Linked DNA regions of Astyanax mexicanus. The protein of the gene in region 3 interacts with the protein of the main gene of each other region in a pairwise test. Links are inferred from orthologs where the notes say so. Each region holds a gene or a part of one and is shown on either strand. Other genes may lie near its edges.

What was found.
Region 1: the proteins of mad1l1 (region 3) and tropomyosin alpha-1 chain interact in binary tests that used the Homo sapiens proteins (3 or more experiments, as listed by UniProt). The two-hybrid records come from large-scale screens. The link is inferred for Astyanax mexicanus from reciprocal best matches to the Homo sapiens genes MAD1L1 and TPM1.
Region 2: the proteins of mad1l1 (region 3) and bag5 interact in binary tests that used the Homo sapiens proteins (3 or more experiments, as listed by UniProt). The two-hybrid records come from large-scale screens. The link is inferred for Astyanax mexicanus from reciprocal best matches to the Homo sapiens genes MAD1L1 and BAG5.
Region 4: the proteins of mad1l1 (region 3) and tpm3 interact in binary tests that used the Homo sapiens proteins (3 or more experiments, as listed by UniProt). The two-hybrid records come from large-scale screens. The link is inferred for Astyanax mexicanus from reciprocal best matches to the Homo sapiens genes MAD1L1 and TPM3.

Annotation. Positions count from the first base shown.
Region 1 is NW_026040053.1:189,392-196,614, reverse strand, and holds the start of tropomyosin alpha-1 chain, read left to right. Parts: upstream 1-4,220; 5' UTR 4,221-4,455; coding exon 4,456-4,569; intron 4,570-6,121; coding exon 6,122-6,247; intron 6,248-7,223. UniProt on the Homo sapiens protein: Binds to actin filaments in muscle and non-muscle cells. Plays a central role, in association with the troponin complex, in the calcium dependent regulation of vertebrate striated muscle contraction.
Region 2 is NC_064414.1:30,076,027-30,083,574, reverse strand, and holds the start of bag5 (BAG family molecular chaperone regulator 5), read right to left. Parts: upstream 3,006-7,548; 5' UTR 2,668-3,005; coding exon 2,636-2,667; intron 1-2,635. Other genes in the region: cytochrome c oxidase assembly factor 8, read left to right, coding at 5,746-5,856. UniProt on the Homo sapiens protein: Co-chaperone for HSP/HSP70 proteins. It functions as a nucleotide-exchange factor promoting the release of ADP from HSP70, thereby activating HSP70-mediated protein refolding.
Region 3 is NC_064428.1:4,219,302-4,226,996, forward strand, and holds the start of mad1l1 (mitotic spindle assembly checkpoint protein MAD1), read left to right. Parts: upstream 1-4,693; 5' UTR 4,694-4,841; intron 4,842-7,695. Other genes in the region: pmm2 (phosphomannomutase 2), read right to left, coding at 1-34, 3,351-3,425. UniProt on the Homo sapiens protein: Component of the spindle-assembly checkpoint that prevents the onset of anaphase until all chromosomes are properly aligned at the metaphase plate.
Region 4 is NC_064410.1:30,817,066-30,824,785, reverse strand, and holds the start of tpm3 (tropomyosin alpha-3 chain), read left to right. Parts: upstream 1-4,698; 5' UTR 4,699-4,884; coding exon 4,885-4,998; intron 4,999-6,484; coding exon 6,485-6,610; intron 6,611-7,720. UniProt on the Homo sapiens protein: Binds to actin filaments in muscle and non-muscle cells. Plays a central role, in association with the troponin complex, in the calcium dependent regulation of vertebrate striated muscle contraction.

The DNA.
Region 1 (7,223 bases), on a different chromosome or scaffold from region 3:
GAAGAAAGTCATCACTGGTGTACTGAGTAACAGATGATGAACAGATGATAGACCAAACAAAACCACAGCAGTTAGTGAAACAGAAACATTGTGAATTATCTTAAGAAAGACCCTAAAACAACTTTTAGTGACATCAGCATCAACCTCCAAGTTTTTGTGCAGACTGAGACATCCCAGCACCTTCTGTCTGAACCAACCCATTTTTCTAATCAGCAAAAGAATTGGATCATGTGACTCTCAGGTGTGTTTTGTTGACCAGGTGTGTCCTGATACATTAATTATTCAAACAAAAAATAAACTTGGATGGAAAAAGCAGCTGTAAAACTGAGAAAACAAGTAAATCAATCAGAATTATTAGAGCACAACTATTGTTTATAGCCACAACAACAGTTTTGAAAGTCCTAAAGAAGAAAGTCGTCACTGGTGTACTAAGGAACAGACGTTGAACAGGTCAATCACAAAGGAAATCAGTTGATGAACAGTTGATGAAACAGAAACATTGTGAGTTCTCTTAAGAAAGACCCTAAAACAACTTTTAGTGACATCAGCATCAACCTCCAGAGTTTTCACTCATGCCCAGACTGAAACATACTCTGGTTAAAAGTATATAAGAACCTCAATTCAAGCTCTCTTTTAAATTTAACAAATCCATCATTATATTTATACATCTTACTCTGACCTTAAAAATCAAGTATCAACAAACTCAGTATTTTGTTTACATGACTAGTGGGACCATCAGACTACAACTACAGTGATCTGATTATGAATGGGTGTTGGATGATACAGTGTTACGCTCAGCAGATACATGTGTTGGCAGTGTGTTGAAGTGTTGGTGCCAGTCAGTAATCTGTGGCTAATTGTGTGAGTTTGTGGAGATTAGAGCTTTAGTTGACGTGTGATTATCAGGGTAGTATTGGGGGGTTTGATTATCATGGGGGTGTTGGGGGTTTTGATTATCAGGGGGTTGTTGGGGGTGTGATTATCAGGGTGTTGGGTGTGTGTGTTGGACCCCGTCAGTAATTGGTCAGTAATCCGTGGCTAATCGTACGAGTTTGTGTTGATTAGAGATTTAGTTGAGGTGTGATTATCAGGGTTTCAGGGGGTGTAATTATCAGGATGCTAGGGGTGTGATTATCAGGATGTTGGGGGTGATTGTCAGGGTTTTGGAGAGTGTGATTATCAGAGTGTTGGGGGTGTGATTATCAGGGTTTTGGGGTTGTAGACAGCAGTGTGCTCGGATTGAAGCCGGGTGTAATTAGTCTGATTAAACGGGTTAGTGCTCTGTCTGATCTGCCGGAGAGATAATCTACATTCCGGTTCTGGTTTTCCCGCTGGGCCCGATGGGACTGACCCGTTCCTGTAGGCCCAGGAGAACCCGATCCGAGTGCTGACAGAGGAGGACCATCCCATTTAATACTCTTCAGACTGTGAACAAAACCCACAGGACCTCATTACATCCCATCTGTCACTGATCCAGTTCTTCATCACGCCGGTTCTGATCTCATTAGTCTTATTAGTTACAACCGGAAGGAGTCTAATCCGGGTCCAGGATCTGCAGCTGTACCCGAATTACACAGAAGCTCAATCCGGATGGGATTAGTATTTTAGGGGGTTCTGGGTAATTTTCTCTTTTATGGGTTTTTTATCCTGTGATTTTATTCCCGTCCAGAACTATCATGTAAGTGTTTTTCTCAGACGTCCTCTGAGAAAATTACAGGCTGAATTATCTACTGTTTTTCTCTGAACTCCGTGCTCCTCCGGTAATTTTAGTCCCGTCCGGACGCACATCTCTGAGTTTCGTCTCCTCGCCTTTAATAAAATAGATATTTGTCCACTGCCGCGCACCGTAATTACATGCACCACGGTTTCCACGGAGAGCCACTTTAAAAACACAACAGCGAGTGGAATTGGAGGAGCTACTGAACTCCATGATGTCATGTGACCGAGAAAAAAGACTTAAACTCACTGATCCTCCTGTTTTTACAATTTCAGTCCGGATGCAGGAGTTTTATCACTGATAGAATATTGGAAACTATCACACTGACCTGGTAAAAACACAATCATCACAATATTAAAAACAATAAAACATGCTTCATAAACCCGTATGAAATTTGTTTTCCAATTAATCTGATTCCACAAAACAACGTTTTCCTTAATTCTATAGTAAAGATACATTAGAGCAAATTTAACTAGTTTTAAATTATTGATAATATGATTTGCGTATTTTGCCAATCTAATTAAAATATTTGTCTAATTAATAATTAATAAATGAAGGTGGTGGATGCAGCATGCTGTACTATATTTTGTAGAAGGTCTGTACTATGCTCCAGTATTCTGTAAAATAAATGCTTAGTTTAAGTATAGATATCTTTAAACTTTTAACTGAAGTCAGATTTTGGGCCATTAAGATATAATCCATGTACCAAATACAGCTCTGAAAAAAATAAGAGAGCACTTAAAAATGATGAGTTTCTTTGATTTTATCAAATTGAAAACCTCTGGAATATAATCAAGAGGAAGATGGATGATCACAAACCATCAAACCACCAAACTGAACTGCTTGAATTTTTGCACCAGGAGTAAAGCAGCATGAAGTTATCCAAAAGCAGTGTGTAAGACTGGTGGAGGAGAACATGATGCCAAGATGAATAAAAAAAGACCCTGATTAAAAACCAGGATTATTCCACAAATATTGATTATTTCTGAACTCTTAAAACTTTATGAATATGAACTTGTTTTCTTTGCATTATTTGAGGTCTGAAAGTTCTGCATCTTTTTTGTTATTTCAGTCATTTCTCATTTTCTGTAAATAAATGCTCTAAATGAGAATATTTTTATTTGGAATTTGGGAGAAATGTTGTCTGTAGTTTATAGAATAAAACAACAATGTTCATTTTACTCAAACATAAACATATAAATAGCAAAATTAGAGAAACTGATTTAGAAATGCTTTCTCTACATTTTTTTAGAGCTGTATATATTTACTTTTACCAGTAACAAACATTAATGTCTTAACTTGTGTGAATTAATAATTATTTAAAACATTCTGTTGTAATTACTGTTATACTTATTTTAACTTGTTACCAAATTATCTTGGTAATTACTTTTATTTCTTTACTGTACTTAAGTACTACAAAACTGTATCTGTACTCTACTGGATTATTATTTTTTCCTCCTACTTTCTCTTTGACTTCACTACATAATTTGGATGAGTTTAATACTTTTAGTCTGATATATTGTTTATGAGCTGCATTGTTTCTTTTTACAATTAAAAAAATTGAGAATTTTTGGGACAATATATCGTTCGCATTTTTTTAAATCGTGACAGGCCTATTAATATATTTACATTCTACTAAATAAAATACATTCATTTACAATGGTGCATATATGCAGCTGAAACACTAGGGAGGAGCCTAGAGCATCCCAAATTATATTACCAACATTAACATTGTAATATTATAAAATTATAGTCATTATGGCTTTTAGAAAAATTTTATTCTTAGCTTTTGTTCTTAATGGCTTTATTATTTTCCCTTTTGTATTACTTTTACTTTTATACTTTAAGTAGTTTTTTTTAATCCAGCACTTTTTAAAAACACTTTTACTTAAAGCTTAAAAAGCTTGAGTGGTTTTCTTAAAACTAAAAAAAACATATGTTAAACAGGGAACAGCCTAGTGCATCCCAAATTATATAACATTATAGTCATTATATCTTTTAGAAAAATGTTGAAAAGGGTTTTGGGAAGGGGGACCTGGTGAAAAAATAACTTTTAAAAATACTTAATTGTGGATAAAACATACTGAGAAGTATGCTGTAAATATACTAACAGATTTATGTACTTACTTAAAATATATTAAAAGCACATTAATATAATTATTTCATTATATTAATCAACATATGTATCAACATAATGAGTTGATACTTAAAACTGAAAGTAATTTTATACTCTAGTATCTATACTTCTGCCTACAGTGGAGTAATGAATGGAGATACTTCTGATACTTTTGATACTGAAGGGGTTACTCCTTGCAGATTTAGGGTGGGGGTGTGGTGGGGGGGTGCATGCATGTCTAAGAAGTGGGCGTGGTTTATGAGGGGGGTGTGGAAATAGGATCAGGTCGGTTTTGGGGTGAGGATGGGGGTTGGGGGGGTGATGGGGGTGCGCGCGCCTCGCCCCGTGCACCCCATATATAGCGATATGAACTGTCAAATGTCCGCAAACAGCGAATCACCGGCCGGCTCGAGCCCAAACCTCGTATCAGGTGTCCCTGCAGGAACCGGGGAGCGCGCGCCGACACGCATATTTGACAGCTCGAGGTCCAGAGTGAGCTCGCACTCCAGCTCAGCGCTCAGCTCGGAACACTCCTCTCCTCTCCCGAACCCAGCCTGACCCGCCCGGACCAGCCTGACCCAGTCCCAGTCCCAGTCCAGCACCAACACCACCACCAGCAGCCATGGATGCCATCAAGAAGAAGATGCAGATGCTGAAGCTCGACAAGGAGAATGCCTTGGACCGGGCTGAGCAGGCAGAGGGAGACAAGAAGGCAGCGGAGGACAGGAGCAAACAGGTCGGAGCCCGCCGCTCACGATACTCTCCATACTCAACATACTCTCACTCACTCATAGAGCAGCGGATACAGGATTAACAACAGCTTATACAAGTTTAAAAGAAGAGATACAGAGTTAACAAAAAAGATACAAAGTTAAAAAGAACAGATACAGGGTTAATAACAGAACAGATACATGGTTAACAGCAAAAGATACAATGTTAACAACAGAATAATCAATTTAAAAGAACAGATAAAGAGTTAACGGCAGCAGATACAGGGATAATAACAGCAGAAGATGATATACAATGATAGCAAAAGAAAAAAACAAGTTTAAAAGATACAAAGTTAATGACAGAAGATACAGGGTTAACAGAAGAAGATACAATGTTAACAACAGAAGATTCTAACAGTTAGATACAGTTAACAACCATAACGAAACAAAAGGTTTGGAGGACAGGTTTGATTTGTATTCAGGAAAATATTTATTTTAATATGAAGTTTAAGAAGTCCCAATTTCATTATTTGTTTACTGTTATTCATTTTATTTTTATAGTTGCAGATTTACTTACATTTTGTAAAAATAATTTCTATTACAATTACAATTAGAATGTGTACTAACGTGTATTATCAAACATTAAACAGTTTTATGTGATGCTTGAAAAGAAATCTTTAAGATTTAGGTGTGTAATATCAGGCAGAAAATTGACAAAAATGCTGGCCTGTTGAGGGGTTAACAACAGAAGAAACAGGTTGTCTTCAGCAGATACAGAGTTAAAAACAGAAGATACAATGTTGACAGAAGATAAAACAGAAGATGCAACAGAAGATACAGGGTTAATAGTAGAAGATACAGGGTTAACAGAGGCACAGTGGAGCTTCTACAGCTTCTTCTTGCTGTACAAACTGTGGATGAAACACTTTCTTCTAAAATGACAGAACCTTAAGCTGTTCTTCCACTGTTTCAACTCAAAATCAAGTTAGAATTAAACTGTTGAATTGGTTCCTCAACTAACATATTGCCAATACATATATGCATATAGTGACTCAGCACACACGATGAAATGATGTGCAATTGATTGATTATTATTGTTATTGTTTATTGATGAGCTCACAGCTGAAAAGTACAGTAAAAGAACGAGTGTAACAAGCAGACCCTGTCTAAAAGGAAAATATCAAATCAGTGTGATCTAAATTTATAATTTTACTTTTAATTATTTGAGCATTTATTATTGGTTGTATCCAATAGTTATGTGCATTGTTTTTAAAGAAGAGCATGATACAATACACAGGAGTTCAAGAGTTCAATCCAGATCCAGACAGTGAACAGGATTTTACTGGAGCACGACTACCCCTCTTCTGTACTGTCTGGACCTGGTTCTGACCCGGTTCTGACCCGGTCATGCATGCTCAGTGTGTAATAATGTAATAAAGATGGTTATGTCATGTAATTTATTGTGTAAAACTGTGTTATAATACAGTATCTGAGCTTTTTACTGATCCGAGCTTTCTTCTTTCTTGGTTCTGTCCCTGTTCTCCCTCGGTTCTGTTCTGGTTCTGTATGGACCCTCAGCTGGAGGATGATCTGGTGGCTCTGCAGAAGAAGCTGAAGGCCACTGAGGATGAGCTGGACAAATACTCAGAGGCTCTGAAGGATGCCCAGGAGAAGCTGGAGCTGGCAGAGAAGAAAGCCACTGATGTGAGTGCTCACAAATCATGGCGTCCAAAAACACAACAAAACACCCCGCGGTCGTATAGCACCCTCCCCGCGTCCATTAATCTGATTATTACTGATTTATTATTAAATTACAGCTGATTATTATAACACACCTGTACACATCTGTAAACATTACTACATCTGTAAGGCCTGATTGCAAAAACTACAGCTTCATAGGCCCTAGAATAGAGCCTTGAGGGACGCCACAAGCTACATTAAACACAACAATTACCAATTAATTCCCTATACTTATAAATATGTGCATTAGAATATATATTTTCTAATTCAAATAAATTATAGCAATAAAGTAAACTATAATGTTTCAGGGTAAATTATAGTCAAAAGTATTTGTACACTTAAACACAAAGAGCATTTTATTATATTTAGTTGCATTTAGTGCTGACATATTCACTACATGTCCAAATATTTGTGGACACCCCTCCCTATAATTTTTTATGCTGCATTCAGCTTCTTCAATTTAGTTCCACCCAGAGCTGCTGACACAGACGTGCAAATGAACACAAACAGCTTTAGTCTAGTTACTGTAGAATAGAAGAACCGCCAATAGAATAGGAACACTCTCTGCAGCAGATCAATAATCATGAACCTATTGGTTCCATGTTATCTGGAGAGTAGAGACAGTTACTCCAACAAAAGCAGGATCAACTCTTTTAAATATCTTTAATTTTAGAAGAAAATGGCTGGCGTCCCAATACTTTAGTCCATATATTGTATATTATCTTGTAGAAATTAAACCAAAATAAAATAACACAATACATTAGATGACTAATATATATATATATATATATATATATATATATATATATATATATATATATATATATATATATATATATATATATATATATATATATATATTATAATCATATAGAAACAAACAAATTCTGTTTCTATAAATGGAATATATATATTTTTTATTTAGTCTTTTATTAAAATA
Region 2 (7,548 bases), on a different chromosome or scaffold from region 3:
TATATGAGAAACAGACCAATAGAAATGCTATAAAATGCCTGAAATCACCTAATTTAAACTGACAAGTTTTTTTTCACTTTCTTCTGTTAAAACGGTTGCTGTTTTGGAGATACAAGTGTTAACAGCACAACAGTGACAATATACAATATTTCAGCGGTTCTGGTGGTACGACCAGTGGTATGGCAAAGCATTCCAAGGTTGTACACAAATTTATAGAGAATTAATCTGTATTTTTCATTATTTTGGACTTGGACTTTGAAATTGATACACCCTGTGTGTAAGCCCACACGTCTTTCTTTACTCTCATAACTACAGTACTAATTAATTATTAACATCGGTTTCATGGGCCCTACAGTTGAACCCTGTGGAACTCAATAATTTCCAGTCTAATTAACCTAGGGTTCACGAGGATGCCATGTAGACACTGTAGTTCATTACATTGTCTCGCACTCCTGCTATTTCCTCAGAGCTGTATCAGCAGGCATACTGCATTGACCATCAACAATATGCAATTGGCCAATTACTGGTACAGATATGGACAGACCACACACATTAGCCACAGTAGGTGGTACTTGGAAGTTTGCTCATGAATTTGCCTTACACCATAATATTTAAAAAGTAATGTACCTCCATATGATTCAATCACAAATTCAATCATTCTCTTTTGATATGCAGCAGAACTGGGAATATTTTCTTTCAGTGGAGTGGCCCTTTAGGGGTTAATAGTCTACTTGTCTTATATGCTTATATAACCAGGTGAAGAGAAATTCCTTCATGTGGAAGAATGCTGCTCATCCCACGGTCATTCGCTGTGCTTTTGGCAGTGACCGTGAAAAAGGATAAAGCAGACATACACACGAACATTCACTGTGTGGGGGCATAAATACATTCACCTCTGGATTTACTTACATGGTATTTTCGGTGGACTTGAACTAACCTGAAACAGCACGACTGTTTTAAAATCCCTTTATGGGATGTCCAGTAGATGTAGCTCTGTTTGAATGTGCTAGCTGTTATAGTTATAATAGCTTCTGTGTGTCCATAAATGCTATGAATATTTGCCATTGTTTATGGCTGTCTGTGCTTTTACATTATTAACACCTTAACAGGCCAGGATTTTTGTCAATGGTCTGCCTGACATTACACTAACATTTTTAATTCAAGCATTAAATAAAAAGCTTTAATGTTTGATAAGGAACATGACTGAAAATCATAATTGTAATTGTAATAGAAAATATATTTAAAAAATTAAGTAAATCTGCTGATGTCAAAATATAATAAATAAAATCAGAAAATCTTCCTTGAACTTAATTTTAAAATCGTATTTTAAATTTTAAACTTAATTTTCCTGAATACCAATCAAATAGTTAATGTCCTTTCCTTTCGTTATGTTTGTACAGTTTTTACAGAATTTGGGTTGATTCCTGTTACTAATCTGGAATTATTAAGTGGAGTAGAGGGTGAACAGGCAGCTTCTCCAAGTGTCCTTTAGGAGATTTCAGAATATGAATAACTTATTTTACTGCAGAAAAAAGGGTTTTGTATCACCTACACCTGTAGCCAATATACAGGACAAATATTTTAAGGGGTTAACCTATTTGCATGAGAATGTGAAAGAAAACAGATGGCAGCTGTGAAGACACATACCAACACCTTCAGCCAGATTTGATTTGAGGTGTGAAATAGAACATCAATTTTTAAGTGTGTGTGCCGGACCTGAATGTGGTCAGGAACGGCTGCTCAACCTGCTGCTGCCTAAACAGCTGTCCTCGTTCACTTGTTTAGTAGAAGATGCCCTGATTACGCTTGCTGTCATGGGTCTGCTCCAGGATTCTGATTATGAAGTCCCTAGTGAGCCTGGGCACAACACGAAAGCTCTGGATTATGGGTTAGGGTGGGGCGAGGGCGCCCAAATGCCATCCATGCCTAAACCTATTAGTCAGCGCAGGAAAGAACATGATGCTGGATACATCAGGACCAAACATCTGGGGAATCTGCTGAGAATGTGGTGAACATCTGGTACACAAGCCAATTAAAGTGTCTGAAACTGTGACATTAAGGGTCTGTGAACGAACATCTTTGGTGACCATTTACTGCCAGTGTGGCTGTGTGTCAATGATTTCACCCTGTCTCTAGCTGAGGTAATGTAAAGGATCCCCCTTTCTGGAACAGTCCATCTAACCTAGCTCGTTAGCTAACAGATGCATGAGGATGGGGAAGACTAGGTCAGTAACTCAGATGTTGATAAAGAAAAGGCTAGTTAACTAGCCACCTAGTTGAGAGAATTAAAATACTGTCAGCACTTCAGGCCACTATTTGCATAACGTCTTCCTTATCTTTTTGGTTCACACGTGGAGAAAGACAGAGAGGCTGATCCGCATTCATGCACCTCAGCACTGTTAGCCAGCGAGCTACATACCTACCCAACTACCTACGCCCACCAAAAGAGCCAGCCCTGAGCATAGCGCACGCTCATTTATTACAGCTAGCAGAAACGCCACGTTTTGCCGGTAATAGGCAATAAAACGAGAAATTATAAGCACGAGCGCTCGAGTCCGTGGCTCCACACACCAACACCAGCATTACCTCCTCTCCACCACCACCTCCTCCTTGCGCAGAAAAGCCTATTTCTCACCTCTTCAACACGCCGAAGACGTTCGCGCACATTATGTCTGAAGAGGCTCGTTTCCATAAGCCGTGCTGCTAAACTGCTGGACGCCTTGAGAGACTTCAGTACTTCAGCGATCGATGGCACGCTGAGTGTGTACAGTGCAGCGGCTCTGTATTCGGGGGCTTTTTAGGCTGTAGATTTGCGTTTAGTCGAGCTAAGCTGCATTGGCGCCCCTCCCATCCCATCCCACCCCACGCAGCCCAGGCGCAGATAGACAGACCGGGGGAACCAATTCAGAGAGCAGGAGGGAGCTGCTGCTGCTGGAGCTGCTGGGATATTACACACTCCACACACACACACACACACACACACACACACACACACACACACACACACACACACATACAGATGTATCTACAGTAGACACGACTATATATTAATATAACTCACGCTATTGCCCTCAAAACGTGACACACTTCAGAACAAGATACCACCAGTTTCCAGCCCTCTAAAGCCCCGCCCTTTTTGGTCTTCAAAACATCATAATCTGGTTCTTCCAGAAGACTATTTACCTTGGTTAGATGGTTTAATCTTTTATACACATGAATGTCAGTCACTAGCTTTAGGTCTGAGTGCTAGCTAGTTAGCTATAGATATCTTGTCAAAGCATTTTAGCTAACCTAACTGGGTTAGTTACCATGGTGTGTATATCTATCTCAAGGTAAAGCTGCCTAGCTAGCTAGTTACATAATACAGCTGGTAGGTCGGATTAAAAAAAACACCATTACATCTAAAAATGTATAGATGGGTTAACGTTACTTATGTTAGCTAGCTAGTTATAGTGATTTGGGCCATATGTGTTATATCAGTTTAAATGTAATGTAACATTAGCTAGGTTATCTATCCTAGGTTATATCAGTTTACATTTTATGTAGCTAGGTTATCTAGCCTAGGTTATATCAACTTAAATTTAATGTAGCTAGGTTATCTATCCTAGGTTATATCAGTTTTAATTTAATGTAGCTAATAGGTTGTGTATCCTAGGTTATATCAGACTTCATTTAATGTAGCTAGGTTACCTATCCTAGGTTATATAATTTAAATGTAATGTAAGTTAGCTAATAGGTTATGTATCCTAGTTTATATCAGTTTTAATTTAATGTAGCTAGGTTATATATCCTAGGTTATCCGTTTAAAAATGTAATGGAGCTAGGTTATATTAGTTTAAATTTAATCTAACTAATAGGTTATGTATCATGTGTTATATTAGATTTAATTTATTTACCTAGGTGTTGTATCCTAGGTTATAACTGTTATCAGTTTAAATTTAATGTAGTTAGCTGGGTTAGCTAACCTAAGCTAACTAGCTCAGCTAATTGATGTGATAAGAAGTTGATTTTATTTGACTTCTGGTTACACTTTAAAACTCTCAAACAAACAATAACAGAAAACTCACATTGTATAATCCGCCTTAGTAAAACAGAATTATCACGAAAAACACGTAAACAAATGTGTTTCAGCGCATGTGCAGAACCGCCCAGTATTACACAGCTTCGGGAAGCTGTATTTGACAGAACACCTTGATGCAAGTACACAGCCAAGATAGCTAAACGTTAACCTACATTACTCAGTTAACCACACCTATAAATATAGGATTAAAAATCTGTCTGTTTACTGCAGCTAGCTTGAAGGACTAGCTAGCTAACGGTAGCCTCGACCTTATATAAAATAATCCGCTTGGACTGAGAGATGCTCAATCCTTTGTGTGTCTCTCTCTCCCTGATACACACAACAAGAACAAGGTTAGGCGATGAGGAGCTCAAATTAGCACACAACAAGCTACAGACCAGCCTGTGTATAAAACCAGCCAGTCCTGTAAACAACAGACCCCTCACTTAATAACTAACGTTACATCTCAATAATTCAGCTTTAGCAAACTACCCACCTGCATAACCAGCGCACAGCCATCGGGACATCAGTGTGTGAGAGAAACAAGCCCAACGGGACCAGCCGGCTAACTCCCACCAATGACCAGCGGGGACAAAAACACCCGGATAGAAGATAGCGCTGTAGCTAACAGACAGCGAGCCCGAGTTTAGTCCATCGCTGTATTCAGAATGTATTCCACTGTTTAACGACAATTAGACATTTATATCTTCTGATTTTATGTCTCGTTTTTACTTTTTTTTTAATTGTTGATTTCTCTCAGACTTCAATACAACCTTGGGTAGCTAGCTAGCTAACTAAAAGTCTATAGCTACTCCACTGTTTGGTCACTACAGTCTTTTAGCTTCCTAACGTGGTGGTAATAATATATACATTTATATTTTTACAATATGGAGACTTAATATGTTCAGGTGTTAAGAGTTATCGTATTTTAAATTCAGTGAAACGTCTCGGTCGTCCAGTTCAATCACAACAGGAAAAGAGCGGAACCTCCTCCCGGAGATGAAGTGTGAAGTCGGGCACAAATAAAAAAAAAGTCTTTAATTGAGAGACAGAATAATACATTTATTATTATTATTATTATTATTATTATTATTATTATTATTATTATTATTATTATTAATAATACCATATATAATACATATAATATTGTTATTTTTAAAGTGAAATTATTAATATATAATTGTGCTAAAAAACATTACGTAAATACATAAAAGCGGACATTTTTAGGCAAAAAATAATTGTGTAAACGTTCACTGAATACAATTAAACAAAATTATTGGAAATAAAATGTAAATAAATAAGTAAACATTAGGTGATGGTAAATGAACACTAGAGTGATAAATTCATCATCTTCAGCTTTTAAAGAAGTAGTGTAAAATGTGGGGGTGTATCTACTTTTAAGTATTGTGAGGTTTAACCAAAAACATATTTGCTTACATGAGGTTTATTTTTTTATTATTATTATTTTTATTTCTTGGATGTATATATCACTGGCGCAGTGAGCTACGAATTTGGGGTGACTTTTACTTTGAAAGTTGGGTAATGTACCTTTTTTCTCCCCTCATATTGTGGCTGCGCGCTCTGCTGTGCCGACACGAGAGTAGTGTGTAGCTAAGGTCACCCTGTGTGTGTAAGGTCTGATAATAGACGGATATTTAGTAGATATGGAATAGGATTAACTAAAAATGAATACACGAGCTGTGGGCAGTTTGTTTTTCAGGTCTCAGCGTTATGCTTCTGGTGTCCTAAAGATAAGGCACCACTGCGCGGGCCAGCCACAGGATGAGCTAGCAGAGGTGTGTATCTGTCGAGCTAACATGATCCCCTGTCAGCAGCTTTTACGTCTGTTAATATTGTCAGGCAACTTTAGAGCTGGACAATATATCTATATTGTATCGTGTCGACATTTGTCGAAATTTCCGGATTCTGTTTAGCTGGTTGATGTGCAGCAAACATTAAAAATAATCAATGTACAGTGTAGCATTTAAATAGCAGATTCTGCCTCTGCTGATGCATTTTGTCTGAGTGTCAAAATATTATAAATACTATGTATTATAAAAAATGTTTTTAAATACTCTTATATTAATTTTCTTACAATATCTTAATCAGTGCATGATCACCTAGATTAAGGTGGTGGCTTTTATATTGTTAATATTGATGATAGAATTGAACCCTATGAAAATTAAGAAATGTATTGTGATATAGATTTTTGCCATATCCTTCAGCCCCAGGCAGCATTAAAGACAAAAACATAAATGTTAAGGGACATTTTGTTTATGTTTGTTTATGTTTGTTTATATCTTATCCTCTTTGTTATAGTACCATCACCTGAGCATATCTTGCGCTAAAATATAATGAACCTTTAAACAATCTGTTCTCATACATTATGAATATGCTCAAATGGTAAATAAGTAACTATACAAATAAAAATTAAACCTACAACCACCGTTCCAAAAAAAAATTGGATGCTGTGTAAAATTAAAGTTAATAGAAAAAATAAAAAATTAAAAAATTATTAAAGTTAATAGAACTGAACGCAGTGATGTGCAAACTTCATAGACCCACATTTTATTCCCAATAGAGCACATAATATATAAGATGTTGACAGTGAGAAACGAGGAATTTGAACTTGAGATTTGGGCAACAGAAGACTGGAAAAAAACAAGCTAGATGAGTTAGTTATTCGCAAGTAACTCACATGACAGGGGAACAACAAGACTATTTCAGGCCAGGCTGAATATTTTGCTAAAACTGACTTTGGATATCCCACCATCTACATAATATCATCAAAAGATTTAGAGAATCTGGAGAACTCCATGTGTGCAAGGAACAAGGCAGACGTTAAGGTTTAGATGCTCATGATCTTTGCACCCTTAAAAAAGCAAAACAACAGGCGTGATTCCAAACTAGAAAAAACTACATGGGCTCAGAAACGCTTTACAGTAATCACTGTCTGTAAACACAAACTGAATCATGCAAAAAAAGAGACACCATTCAAAAATGTCACCATCTATTCTGGGCCAAATTAAAAGCTGCTCTGTCATCAGATAAATCAAAATCTTTTTTTTTTTTTTTTTTTTTGAAAACCAAGGATGTCATGTCCTGCGGACTCAAGAGTTTAGGGACCATCCAGGTTGATATATCAGCACACAGTTCAAAAGCCTACATCTCTACAAAGTCACAACAGCATGCTTCATAGAAGAAAAGGCTCTTAGATCTGCTGTCCAGACACTTCACCAATAGAAAACATTTGGTATATTTTAAAACAAAAAATCAAGAATTCTCCACCAGACAAAAATCGGACATTTCCCACAACTGCTCTCCCAAAAATGTGGGTCTATGAGATTGCATTCTGTTTTTGTTTACATTTTAAGTGGCTCCAGCTTTGCACAATATTTTTATGGTTACCATGTGTAAAACATATTATCATTCAAATTATTATTTCAATTGACATTGTTCTATAAACAGGGGCAAAGGTTGGGCACCCC
Region 3 (7,695 bases):
TGGTTAAGAACTGCTGCATCTGTGGAGTCACTTTCTAAAACAGAGGGGAAAAAATAAAATGCAACAATGAATTCTATGTGAAGAACTTTAATCACTTAATAATAGGTAACAGTATTTTACATGTATAAGACTTCAGACTACACAGAATACATTTTCAGCATAATTGCAATTGCTTGGCTGCACTGAAAATGAGGATCACCCTTAAACCACAGAAAGATTTATTAATTGATTTAAAGTGAAAGTTAACATTTCTCTATATTTGAAATAATGTGTTCATTCTGTGTACATCTTGAACAAAATGTTAAATATAGTTTACATGAAATTTAAACAACTATACTGCTAACACAAAAGGCATGCTTTATTGATATTGACTGAATAACAAGTTACACTGCTTCCAGCTCCTGTCAGCAGACACGCCCACATTCCAGACTGACAGCTGTAGGGAGTCTGACCAGTGCGAAAGGTGGATCACTGGGATACTTTTACTAACCAGTTAAACAAGCCAGACCACAATCCCAGTCCTCAATCTGGAACAGCAGGTCTCATGTGAATGCACCCAGTTCACTTAACAATGAATATATATATATGAATAATGATATAAACTCATCCTAAACCAATGCAGTAAATCTCTTTTCACAGAACTGATACTATAATCGGGGTTTTAACTGATTTAACTGAGAGATTTAACTGAGAGAGTACAATCATCCGATATTTTATGTTAGATATTAAATGAGCTTCAGAGAACTGAAACATGTGTTACTGTGATTATGTTGCTTGGGGTACAGTTCAGAACAGCTTGAGAAGGTTCTCAGGCCAGGTCCCCCCACAGCTAGCTGATGAAGATGAGGGTGATGATGGAGTGGAGGTGGGTGCAAGGTCAAAAGTCACAAAGTGAGGAGCACCTCGGAGGTAGGACTAGGGGGAGGAGCTCAGGAAATTGAGGCGTGGTCCATATCCCAAAATGTTGTTAATTCTTAACAACACTAATACTTGAGTGCCACTTCTGATGGCATCAGCAGTTACAGCAGCTTGTGTATAAATCACTGTGTCTCCAGGTTAAACTATTTTTCTGCTGGTTTTCTTGGTTGACTAAACAGATCACAAAGGTCATGACTCTCACCATCCTCCTAAATATCTCAGCTGACTGACTGCATCTGGTGTCAATGATTAATCATGTTCTTTTCCCAAACGCAGGTTTAGACAGAAACATGCTCTACTTGGTGCACTATGTAGTCAAGAGAGGGACAACTGAGACTCACTTTGGGCTGCGTTCAAAACCACATACTGCTACACTAGTTTAACAGCATTAGGGCCATTCCAGCGAATGGGTGCCATTCGCTTGTTGTTTAAAAACAAGTCCACTTATTCCTTATGTTTTCTCTCAAGAAAGTATTTATTTTAAAGAAATGTTTGACTGCATGTTCAAATAATAAAATAAATAATAACTCCTGTTAATGCACTCATTCCTGTTACTGGAACTCGCTCCTGTTAAAGTAACAGGAATGAGTTTTTAGCATAGAATTAGCAAAAACATGAAAAAGAGCTAAATGGCAGATAAGGGCACTGGGCACATTTAAGTACAATAAAATTAAATATACAGAAAAACAAATAATCTTAATTTTGGTCTTCCCATAGTCTTCAGAAGAACCAGCTGATGTCACTTCCTGTTGTAGATGTGACTTCCTGTTGTAGAATGTTCCTGATGTTTTAGATGATCAGGGTAATGTGGTACAGTAACAGGACTGAGTGAAACCCAGCGACACAAATAAAACGTGTATATTCAATATTGTGGATTTATTATATATTAAAAAAAAATAAAGTATAGATTGGATTTGGAGTCACACAACAATGCAAAAAAAAATACATCTCCGAAGGATTTTAATAATTATAGTTAGAAAGTGGGGACAGGTAACAAATGCTATTTTTTCAATATTCTAAGTAGTTTTTTGTTAATGTTTTTATTACATCTTACTTTGCAATTAGGTCAATGACTTGAACCGGTTGCTGACTGTGATCTTTCTCAGCTGCTTGTTGTCGCGAGCAGAAGTTTTTCGGACGCCGGAACAGTTGGTGCGCTTGCTGCAGTTTTTCTTGAGAGCTTTGCAGACGGAAGACTGGCTGATGCCGAGCTGCTCAGCAGTTTTAGTTTGGGTCAAGCCTTGTTGGCGAAGGGCTTGAATTTGAGCCACTATTCCGGTTGAGAGGTCGCGCTGCTTACCCATGATTGATTTTACAACTTAGAAATTCTACTCAACCCTGACTTTATACTGCACAGTGAACACTCTTCGGAGAAAACAAAAATTCGAGCATTTATTCTAATTCAATGAAACGCTTTCTCCATTATTCTAATTCAATAAAACAACAGTGTCACAGTTAAATGGCCTAAATGGGCCTTTTGGAAAGCTCAGCTGAGCAAATTGTTTTCCAGGTAACGAGTTCTGTGATTAGTCTAACGAGTAGGACAGGTGCGGTGAACACCTGATTTGCTTTCTGCACAAAAAATGCATTCAAAGAATTTCATGATTGCACTATTTCAAATTATTCTAATTCGTTGACCAGCACCTGTATTTTGTTATTCTGTGTGCACATTTATAAATGTAGTTTACTGGGGACAGAAATGGCACCCATTTGGTGGAATGGCTCATTACAGTCTATTTACAGTCTATTTTAGTCTGAAGACCAGCTTCTGCTGGTAGCTGGTTTTGGAAGGTCTAAGTTGGTCTTTGATTGATAAGGTTTTTGAACTGCTGGTCAGTCTGGTGAAAACACCCACTATAATTGGGAAGCTAGCTGGTTAACTAGCTTTTGGTCAGTATAGTAGTTACATGTTGCATTTGATCACACTTATTTGATAATGCTGGTTTACCAAGTGGTCTTAGTTGGCCATGCTGGTCATGGTGGTTGTATACTTTGGAAAGGCTGATCATAGACCAGTTAAATCATCATATCCCATCCTAGTCTTATTCTAAAAGGTTGAATCAGCTCAATCAGCTTGAGATCTGAGCCTGCTGTTTGTTTTCAGCAGGGAAGTGCACTATATAGTGTGCACACATGGTGACAGTTGAGACTCACCCATCTGTATTCAAAACCTGATACTAAGTTACTACAGTAGCTAAAGCATTCATATACACTAGAGGTGGGTAACCCAGGTCCAGAACATAAAAATCCAATCCATGGTTTTGTACCAACTGTGTGGGCAGCTCTGATGATTAAGCTCAGCTTCAGCTGAGCAGCACGGGCAGTTGGTACAAAACCCTGGGTTGGATTTTTACTCTCTGGAGCTGGGTTACCCACCGCCAATACAGCTCCTCCGCAGATGAACACACTACAGTTAAAGTGAGTGATCTTACCTGCCGAGCTGCTGTCAGGGTCCCGTCCACGTCGAACAGACAGAGGGTGGAGGTGTCTGTTTGCGGGGGGCTCATCTTTAGATGATAAAAGGATCAGTGATACTCAGAGAGAAGTGAAAGAAGTGAGAGAACAGACAGAACAGCAGAACTCAGCAGAGCAGGAAGCAGACACGTCCTCCACATCCGCGTCACCCACTACTACAGTTCGGCCGCGGAGGAAAGGGAGGGGCCTATTTTTAGTTTTTTTATATATATATTTTTACATATTTATTTATACATTACAAATGTTACAGAATCATGTTGGTGCTTAAAAACATTACAAAAATATAATAATACAGTAATGTACAAATCATAAACTAGATACCTTTCAAGCTCACAGGGGGCGGGGCCTGAGGAATGTATGAATGGGATTTCCCTTAACGCCAATCAAGGAGCCCGTTTATGAATAAAATCCCGCCCTTCAACAAAAAAGAGCCATACAGTTTACTAAGTACTAGACACAAACCTCATAAGTAATAATAATATTAATACTGAAAAAAAAGGGAGATTATGAAAAAATAATCATTATTATAAAAAAGATAAGAAAAGAATTAAAACAGATTTAAGATTAATCAAGTTATAAAAGCACTTAAATGTAGCATGTAGCAATTTTTTACAAAGATGTTTACATTTTTTTCTCAGTCCTTTTACCAAAATTCATGTAACATTTAAAAAGCATGTCCACTAATTCCTTTCATTTTCTTTTAAGAAAGTGTTTATTCTAAAGTAATTGTTGACTGCATGTTTAAATAATTAATATTGTTGACAAACAAATACTATATATGAACGCACATTCTATTTTTCTAAAATATGCAAAGTTAATTTATTTTAGCAAGAAGACCCAACCCTGAAACTGATCAAATTTATTATCATCGCAATTTATTAACCAAACAGAATTGGACAGGGTGTTTAACATTAACCAATATTTACACTAATAAATCACTAAACGAGAGGACTCTACTCACTCCTGTTACTGGCGCTCACTCTTGTTGCTGGCGCTCACTCTTGTTGCTGGCGCTCACTCCTGTTATTGTCACTCACTCCTGTTATTGTCACTCACTAAGGGTTCTGTATTGTATGCTCAATGTTGTCTGGTTCTGTGTTCTGCGTTCACATTTATGTAAAGCTGCTCTGTGACATCAGTTCTAAAAAGCGCTTTATAAATCAATTTGATTTGATCGAAATGCTCCAGAATCTAGTAGAAAGTCTTATATGAACAGCAGAGACAGTTACTCCTAAAGAAGCAGGATAAACTATTTTACGCTTAAATTAAATGAGGCGGTGTCCCATTATTTTTGTCCTCAGAGTGAACGCCGCGTCCCGCTCGTTAGGTGGCGGACTCGGCCCGCTGTAGGGGATTATCCGCTCCGGCTGAGCATAGAGGAAGAGCAGCAGCAGCTCGGAGCTGGAAAGGAGGGAGATTCAGATTCAGAGCTGAGCTTCAGACTTCAGGCGAGCTTATCTTTTAAAGATTTAAACTTTACACGGAGAAAAGCTGGAAAATGCACCGTGTGCGATTCGGGTCGTTTTTGACCTGTCTCTGCTTCTACCAGCTGATAGAAACGATGTGGAGTCTGCTGGCTAATTTGTTGTGGCTATAAAACATGTGTATTGGTGTTGGAATTATCCGGTCCACCTTAAATATTTTATCAGTTTGGTTCAGATATATGATAGTTCACTTATACGCACTGACGGGTCATTTAAGGTGGACTGGAACGTTACAGGAAAAATAACTAGCTAAAAGGCGAATATAGTTAGTTAACCTAGTTAGCTAACTAGTGTTTCTAATTCTGTTGCGTTTTGAATTCGCTAGCTAACTATTAAACTAGCGTAATTATTTATTAGCTAACGCGAAATGCCTTCAAGTATTTCAGTTTCTTTTCTGGAAACATTAGCTAGCTAACTAGCTAAGCTGTTTTCAAGATGAAGCAAGTCAGGCTTCAGTGCGCTAACTAACTAGCTAACATTGCGGTAAGTTAGCTAGCTAGCCTAGGTTAGCTAACTACAGCTCAAACTAAAAGTTTTTACCGCGTAAATTTAGTTAAAAGTTAGGGTTAAACCGCTGTTTTGCCTGAAGTAAGTAGTTTTAGCCATACAGCTAGAGTTAACTAGCTAAATAAACTAGGTAGGTTAGCTAGCTAATTAGTTACTCAGTTAGCAACTCCGTGTGAGGCCTGTGTAAGTAGCTTAACCCCTTAACAGGCCAAAATGTTTGTAAATTTTCTGCCTGATATTACGCACCTAAATCTTGAAGATTTATATTCAGGCATTACATAATAAGGTTTCATGTTTGATAATAAACGTTACTATAATTGCTAATTGTAGCTGTAATAGAAAGTATTTAAAAAAAGTAAATATGCAACTTTACAAATATAATGAATAACCATTATACATTTGGCACTTTGTCCTCCGAATCCTTGGTTTCGTTATGTTTGTCTAGTTTTTATGTCTGTTTTTAAACCTGCAGAATTTGGGTTGATTTCTGTTACTGATGTGGAAGTGTAGAGAAAAAAGGGCAGCTTCTCCAAATGTCCTGTAGGAGATTACAAAGCCCACACATTTTCAGAATGTAAATAACGTATTTTACTATTTGAAAAGGTGGGCCATTTGGGAAGCCCACCTGGGTCCCAGTAACACTTCAAACTCACCACGTAGCCCACATTCCACCCATATAAGCCCCACAGATGCATGCAGGCTGGGAAGCTACCAACAATTTCTTTTAAAGGCAAGACTGTGTCATTTACTGTGTGAGATAGGGGTTGCCTATATTGCAATAAAATATTATCACAGTGTTTGAGGGTATTTTTGCGATAACTATTGTGCTGCCTTGTGCCGATTGATCACCCTTTGGAGTAATAAGGAGAAAGAGCATCATCTACACACCCAGAGAGAGCAAGGCCAATAGGTAGCCGATGACAAGCTACATGAACAGGATTCGAACTGGCAATCTCCTGATCACAGTGGCAGCACCTTAGCCTGCTGGACCCCTCTGAGCCCAACATTTGAAATTAATTTTAAGAATATTCTACTGCAAAACAAAATATAAAAGTTTATGTAGTATGAATTAATTTCATAAATACAGTAGAAACTAAAAAAATATATAAACAGTCTATTTTGTAAACAGTAACGAATAATATGTGTAAAATAGTAATCTGGCAAAATTAAAAATATTTAAAAAAGTAATCGAACAACAATATTCAACAAAACTAATGTGTACAGCAAATAACACAGTAATAAATACAGAAAATAGATAAATAATAGAGGTGTGCCAAAAAATCGATTCACATAAGAATCTTGATTCTCATTTACTACGATTCAGAATCGATTTAAAATGTCCCAAAATCGATTCTGAGGGGCGGGTTTTAGACTGATTTTGGGCTGGGTATTTTTGTTGGACCTGGCAACCCTGGGGATAGCGCTTGTCCTTTCAAACGGAGATCTTCCAGACACACACAGAGCGTAGGTGTTTGAGAATCACCGGTAAGATGGCAGAACAAGCACTATATTACATTAGATTAACGTGTAGTTTCAATGTTTTATGGCAGAATGCTTCATAACAAGCATAAAAAAGATCGCTAGTAGTTAGTTTCAGTAACTGTTAGCTAGCTAACTAGCTAACTTTCCAGTTCCACCTTAAATAACGCTACAGGTGGCAGCGGGCTGCAGCATTTAAGGCGGAACGGAAAAATAACAATAAGCTAATCAGAGCTAATTTCAGCTCCTCATCACAGAGGAATTAAGGAATGGACCATATGAATTAATTTCTCCACCTCCTGCCCCCTTTCTGAAGAAATACAACGACCTTAAATTAACTAGTTAATCAGCAGCTGCTCCTGAACTTTAGCGCTCCACTGCTATCATCACATCAGCCCAGCAGCGTCACCTACACACCACCGCTAGTAGCCTGGTAATAAAGCAGTGTTATTTATTATTTATTTATTGTTCATTAACGTCATTGTGATATCCCAGTGATTTCTCTGTCACTGAGGACCCACATTCCTGCACATTTTATTGTTTTTGTAACACATTACCTGCTCCAGGACCAGTGTATATTATGGAGGGTTTTTTTTTTCAATAAGATTCATAAGCCAGAAGCAGAAATTTTTATAATTCAAATCGTTTTAAATCAAAAATCGATTTTGAATCGAATCGTGGCCCCCAAAATCGGAATCGAATCGAATCGTGAGATAGTAAACGATTCCCACCCCTAATAAATAAATACAAAATAGACTGGTTTCAATAAGTTTATTGTTTTATTGTTTTAGAAATGTCTGTGATAGTTTTGAACAATACAATATGGCACACC
Region 4 (7,720 bases), on a different chromosome or scaffold from region 3:
TTTCACTACCTGTGTTCAATGGTTAGCACTGTTAGATACATTACTTTATTGTTATATATACTACCATATTCTTTGCACTTTAAGGTGTATCTAAAATACTTACATTTTTCCAAAAATCCGGTGCACCTTATGAATGTAACCGGTCAGGCTGTAAGGAGCAGTAAAGCCACTCCACTAAAGTGCAGCTTTATACAGGAGTTTCAGTGAAGTTTCTGCAGTTCCGAGGCTGCAGCAGCATTAAAAAAAAAGCAGCAGCAGCGGTAAAAAAAAAAAAGCACTAGCTCTTTTACCGGCCGTTCAGAGGTGAGTATTATCTGCCTGTAGCCTGCTGCTAACCATGGCTAGCACTGCAGAAGCAGCATTAGCATTAGCCGCTAAAAGCAAAGTACCTAAATTTTCGCCTTTCAGAGGTGAGTATATTGGACTCTAGTCTGTGTTTACCGTGTTAAAACAAGCTACATGGGATTTTTAACTGCTAGCTAATATCGCTCTGGTTTACCGGAACACTTGGGGTTACTCAGTGTAGCTCTGTCTGGTGGCATTAGCCGCTAACCGTGGCTAGCGCTAGCGGTTAGCTGCTAATGCTAATGTTGCTGCACCCAGTTTTAGTGGAAATCTAAGCTTACTGTAAATAAATGTTAGCACTTTACTCACCCAAATAAACAGTTTTTAGGAGAGAAATCTGTGTAGATTAATATCTAGTGCTCGTTTGACTTTAAAAGAAAATAGATTTTTTTTTAAGATTTAGAGTTTTGTTTAGTTAGCTTTACAGGTCTCGCCACCCAGTAGTCTCGACACCTACACATTACGGTACATCTCAGGAGCTTCTATGACATCCCATTCTAAATACATGGGCATTAATATGAAGCTGGTTACTCATAGGCAGCTATAAAAGGTTTCACACTTCTATAAAGGCTTTATAAAATATTTTAAGAAGAAAATAAGCATTTTAATTTACCCTAAAGGTGTTGGATGGGGTTAAAGTCGGGACTCTTCTACACAAAACTCCCCTTTGCCCCCGTTGCCTTTATGGGCTTTGCTTTGTGCACTGGGGCACAGTCATGCTGGAACAGAAAAGGGCTGAGCCCCAAATGCTAACAAAAATACTTTATAATACAGTTGTCTAAAATCTCTTGTTATTGTAAAGTATTCAGATTTACATTCACTGAAACTAAGGGGTTTAAACAAACCTGTGAAAAAAAAAAACACTCCAAAAGAATTATCCCCCCTCCATCAAACTTTACAAGTTTAGTTTAGTGCAGACAGACATTTTCTGGCACATTTTCTTTGTCAAACTCAGACTCATGTACTCATTCACACTACATTTAGCAGTTAGCAAAAGTGTGAAAATGTATTTTGCCCTTTTTATGAGGACACACAGTGTCATTGATACAAAGCACCACAGGCTATTTGCATGCTAGTGAAGTGGAGAAAGATTTTTTATTATTAAATATCAGTGAGTTAATTACAGGTTTATGAGGGTCTTTAAATCTAAGAACATTAATTTATTAACGTTGAGATGTTGAGTGATGCAGTCAGTAGTACTGGCCCACCTGTGAGTAGGCACTGAAGTCGTCTACTGTTTAGTTCCAGGTTGCAGACTAATTCCAGGACAGACCTACTGTTCCTAAACTGTTTCACAAACTCACTCTCTCTCTCTCTCTCTCTCTCTCTCTCTCTCTCTCTCTCTCTCTCTCTCTCTCTCTCTCTCTCTCTCTCTCTCACACACACACACACACACACACACACAAATGTATAGTTAGAGAGATTGAAAGAGAGACCATTGAAGTTAAACCACATATAAAGTAATCCTTCAATGAGTCTTTATATTTGAACCTCTGGCAAACTGAATATATTGATACACCAACCACATTTAACAGATTCAATCTCAAACTGAGCAGCCTGAGGGGGATGCTAGGAAAAAAAGAGATACGTTTGAAACCTAGATGTTTCACTCTAGCCGGTGACTAATCCACAGGACAATGTCAGCCAAGAGACGAGTATTAATATCTACAACACACACACACACACACAAAACAGTCCTGGGACCGTCCCTGTTTAACTGACCATTGCTCTCTTTCTCTTGCTCTCTCTCTCCCCTCTCTTTCTCCCTTACAGTCACTGACTTACACATAAACACACGTATACTTTCCTACATCTCACAGGAGAAGTGTGCATTAAAGAGAAAATGGACAGAATTGAAATGAAAGAAAAAGCAGCGAGGTGCAGGAGGGGGGCAACTTTCTAAATATACTTTTAATAATAAAAACACTTTGGAAAGTGGTAGAGCATAAAATAGCATTAAATAAAAAACAATACTATTCATAAAAATGTTTTAAAATATTTTTTATGCTGCAAATAAAAAAATAGCATCTTCCGGGGTGTAATGTTTCAGCATGTCATCATGTTCTACACTTTTATGAAACTATAATTGTGTAATTATTATCATGTTTGTAATAATTTTTTGACACATCTGATGTAAAACTCTTAGATCAAAGACCTGAACTGAATTTTCAGTAGGGGGTCCTCCTTGTATTGTTAAAGTCTATCCTGGGCTTAACCTTTGACCTAAAACCAGGTCTGTGTCTGCCCCATCCTCCAACCCTAAAAATAAACAGGTCACCTGTGGCCATTTTGAGGCTCATTCCATGCATTCAGACTAAGCACAGCCCATTATTTTATATTAAATAGATCTTTTTTATTAAGTGTAACAGAGAAAAGTCTCAATGAGGCGTATTGTCACATCTTTGCTTTTATAATGGTAGCGCTCACAGTCCTAAATAAAATATTAAAAAAAGAAAAATAATGTAATGAATCTTTATGAAAAACGCAAATGTTGGTTTGATGATTAATTATCTTAACAAAAACAGACTTAGTGATATTGCAACAAAAATAATGCATGCATCCTTCCTAGAACCCTAGGCTTGCTGTTAAGATTTAATTAGTGTTGTCAGTAGATAAAAATTGATCATATTAATCATAAAAGAATTCTGTGATTAATCACAATTAATCTAACTTTTTTCTCAGATCTCAGATTTTAATAATGGGTATTTAAATGTGAAATAATACATTTAAAACCTATTATTAAGTATTATTAGTGCAAATTCCTTAATAAATACTTGTATTAATCACAACAATATTAAATGGATTAAATAATATATTTTTTAATGCTGGTACTTAACTGTATTTTGGGGAGGGTACAGTAATTAAACTGTAGTGTGGTTTACACCTGGTGGACTAAGATCCCTTACTGTATTATAATATATCAGGGTCATTTTGATGCTTTGTAAACTAGAATATTGTAATATGCTGAGTTACTAAGTTTAACTGAGAGTTTTACTGGAGAAAATAAATGCTAGTGTAGCTCCATATTCCACACTCAACGGCCTCACCAGGCTCTGTCAATTTTGTCACATGATTAATTTGTGCTAATAACAAATGAATGCGTTTCAAAATTAATTGCATGCGTTAAGAGTTTAATGTTGACAGCCCTAGTTTTAATCAGTCAATATTGAATGATGATCAACAGCATCCAAAACACTGTTATTGTTCTGTTCTCTGGGCCAAAGCTCCTTTACAATGAAACTGTTTTTTTTTTTTTTTAGCTTTGATTAATACAAAGCTTCCAGGGTTGATTATATTCATATGCTATTGTCTAGAAAATGGGTTTCATTAGTTCAGTGTTCCTCAGTGACCTTCCTAGGTCGTTGGATCTGAATCCATTAAGTAGGAAGTAGTAGAACATTGTATTTGCAGCATGCTGCGAGATATAATGAAAAAATCTGCATGTATTGAGTGGCAAAGTCACGTCAACATGGTTCCGAATCTTAAAAGAACATTTCCTATTTCTGTCACCTTGTAGAATCCATTCCACAAAGAACTGAGGATGTTGTGAAAGCAACATGAGGCCATGCTAAAACGATATTCTCAGTATAGTGTTCCTTAATGAATGTTGGTACTACTGCTAGTGAAATTCTCAAATGATACAGTATACTATACTGCATGCAGTCAAACAGATAAGAGCCGAGGCTCATAGTGAAGAAAAAAAAAAGCTGTAAAGTGATCAGTGTGCCGATTGACAGGCCATAAGTGTACTGCACGGCTGGTGGGGGGGGGGGGGGGGGGAGGGGTGGGGGGGGTGGAGGGGGGGTGGTGGTTATGGCGTCACACGTACACACCTGTGCCTGTCACAAATGCAAGGGCTTTGTCTTATTATAGCCGAAGCCCTGCTCTGTCCATCATCACCCTCTGTCCTTTTCTTTGTCTAGAGTGTCTATAGTAGCAGTTAGCCTTTAATTATAATGGCTTTGTTATTTCCTTACCTTTAAAAACTAAGGACTAAAAACTTAGAACACCCCAAAAAACTGTCCAAAGAAAGTGACCAAGCTGAATAGCAAAAAAAAGACAATTTCAGCTTCAAGGGCTACAAGGACAGAGACAAAGATGACCTCGAATTTGCTCTTTTAACCTCAAAAACCAAACACTAATACTTGCAAATGATCCAACTTTCAGAAACAGAAAAGCTGTAAACAATAAGTCTTTAAAACACCAAACATTAATATGAACTGCCTGATCAGGTTTATGCCTCTATTAGGTGAGTAACTGAGAGATAAAGCTGGGTGGGGCAATGCCAGGGGGTGTGGCCTAGCTAAATTAGGAGGAGCAATATGTCCCCCCTGATATAAAGACCCTTCCCCTATCTCTTGCTGAGTTTGGGCTCCCATTCCTTCACTCCGTCCCTCCCTCCCTCTTTCTTTTTCTCCCTGTCGCTTTCACCCTGCAAGGTCTTTGAGCTCCGTCCAGTTCTTCCTCCGCTCGCCTCCATCGCTCATCGTTCTTCTTCAGTTTCTTCTCGTACCGTGAGCAACACACACCAAAGCCAAGATGGAGGCCATCAAGAAGAAGATGATGATGCTGAAGCTGGATAAGGAGAATGCTCTGGACCAGGCAGAGCAGGCTGAGACCGACAGGAAAGGAGCTGAGGACAGAAGCAAACAGGTGAGATAAAGAGAGAAGTAGAGAGAGAGAGATAAGGAGGAGGACCTTTGGTGAGATGCCTCAAGCATAATGTATCTAGATAGGCTTAAATAGGACATGTTTAGAGTGTTTCTGCAAAGGTAGCAGTCAGAGATGGCTTTCTTGCAAACATTGCAAATGTCTACCTGGTCATTTTGGGTTCTAAATTCACCTACAACTCCATTAAGTGGGGACTAAAGCAGGGGCCCACAACTCCAGTCCTGGAGGGCTTGTCTCCAACAATGTTTATTTGCTCTATTTAAACACACCACTTCAACTCATCAATTAATAACTAGGTAGAGAAAGCAGTAAAGTAGGGCAACTACCAAACTTTGCTGGAGATAGGCCTTTCAGAACTGGAGTGCAACCTGTGGAAGCAACCTGATGCCTTGAAACACGTCAAATATGAGATTATATTTTAGAACATATGCAAGTTGCTGGCTGTTGCTGAAGGAAAATGAACATTGCAAAGTTAAACTGTTCAGTTTAGCTTCTAATTCACCTAAAACTACACTGAGGGGGCATTCAAGACCAAGCTAGTTGGTGGGATTAATGCATTAAAGCAGGGGTCCACAACTACCTTTTGTCCTTGTGGGTCAGTCTTTAGCAAAACTGCGTAGATTATCTACTCAAAAACACCTCAGTTATTAATTACCAGGCAAAGTACGGCAATTACAAACTGCATTGAGTGGGTAGCAATACCAAGCAGGTGGGACTAATTTGCACAACTCCAGTTCTGGAAGGATGGTCTCCAGGCGGAGTTGGTTGTTTGAGTAGGGCAACTACCAAGCATTGCTTAAAACCATGCTTCCAGGACTGGAGCTTTGCACCCCTGCTTGGAAGCCACTTGAATTTAGAAGCTGTGGAAGGCGTAGAAGCAACCAGATGCCGAAGACTGCATAAAGCCTTGGTGTAACTCTGCCCTAAGCCAGCATCATAAATTCCATAGGCCGTGTTAAGACCCATCTAGTCATCTTGGGCAAGAGGGCATCTGACAAGTGACAAGTGTAGGCCTTTAAATCAAAGTTGGAGCCTGCTGAGAAGCCAGCGACAACCCAAAACCAACACGGAAAGTGGAGACGGCCACCAGCGCATGCTACAAGTAACTGTAGACAAGACGATGAAAGCCAGGGACATCCATCCACCGAATGTTGTGATGTGCTTGTCGAAGGATCTGGAGGAAGGAGAGACCCCTTGGATGGGGACTGGAAAGGGACAACCCTGAGACAAAGATATTTAGAGCACATAGTGTTGAGATAAAGCTATGAAGGGGCTGCCCTGTGGCTTTCAGGCTTTTTGTAGGGTGCAAAGTTTGGATGGTTAAGGAGGTGCAGAGGGGAGGATAAAACACTGTGTATATTGGGATGGATAGATATAGTGTGGATTGGGGTGTCATGATATCACAGTGCTAACATTTCACACTTTTTCCACATTTGCTCTTTCTCCAACCCAACCCCCACCCCCAAAGCATGAAGATGAGCTGATTCAGATGCAGAAGAAGCTGAAAGCGACTGAGGATGAGCTGGATAAGTACTCCGAGGCCCTGAAGGACGCACAGGAGAAACTGGAGATCGCTGAGAAGAAGGCCGCTGATGTAAGTGCTAACAATCCCTCAAAGAACACAAGTGTCGTCCCCACAGACATACACCAAACTGGCCACCAGTCCGTCTTCCAAATTCCATTCACCCTGGCCCCCCATTCCTCTCATTCTCTTCCCTCTATTCATCTACAGCTGCCTCTGTCTCTTCTCCCACTTTTGACCATGATGTCAATGAGACATGATGCCCCCACCCCAAAATTCACCCTCAGTCTGTCTGTCTGTATCTGTACAAGCCTCTGTACCCTCTCCCCCCTCTCCCTCTTCCTTTCTCTGTCTCTGTTCTGTCCATCATTTTTCCGTTGCCAGGCCGAGAGTGCCACAGAGGTGACACAGAGTCTTATTTAGTGCCATTGCTGGGAGTGTGTATGTGTGTGTGTGTGTGCTCCAGGGGGATGGCCGTCACCACAAGGCCACTGTGTGGACTGTTGGTTTAGCTCCAGGGTTATAAATCAGAGCGTCTAAAAGGATCTGAAGAATCTGTTCACCCCAGAACAGACAGTAGCACAGGGACTGCCATGCTGAGATAACAGCACCTTAAACATACTACATCCTAATGAAAATTATTTTTCTCCTGCATATTTGAACAGGTCTTAATGTAAAGTTCTTGCGTTGGTTTTACTTTTCTAGAAAAAAACAAAAAGTCATACAATACTGTATTTTACTATATGTTAATAATCTAGACTTTATAGTGAGGTCATATCAATTTACAAAGGTTTACAAAGGCTTTTCACACTTGCATCCTCACAACAACAGATCTTAAAACAATAATCTATTTTAAAAAATCCAAGGTAGAATTCTTCTTTATGTTGTTATCATCTTTTTTATATGATACAACAAACAAAACAACAAAAAAAAAGCACCAGTATTTTTTTTTTATTAATCCGATTTTTATTTATTAACAACAATATGGGCCAGAGATCATTTTGGTTCTTTTTAAGCCAGAAATCAAAAACACAAAAAACATATTTCCAGTACCTTCTGTAAAGCAAAGTGTCAGAAGAAAGTGTTATTGTCTTTTTTAATGATTCATAAATTCTTACCAAATTATGTAATGTAATAGTTTATAGCTATATTAAAAAGTAAGAAACAACTGAAAAACAGATC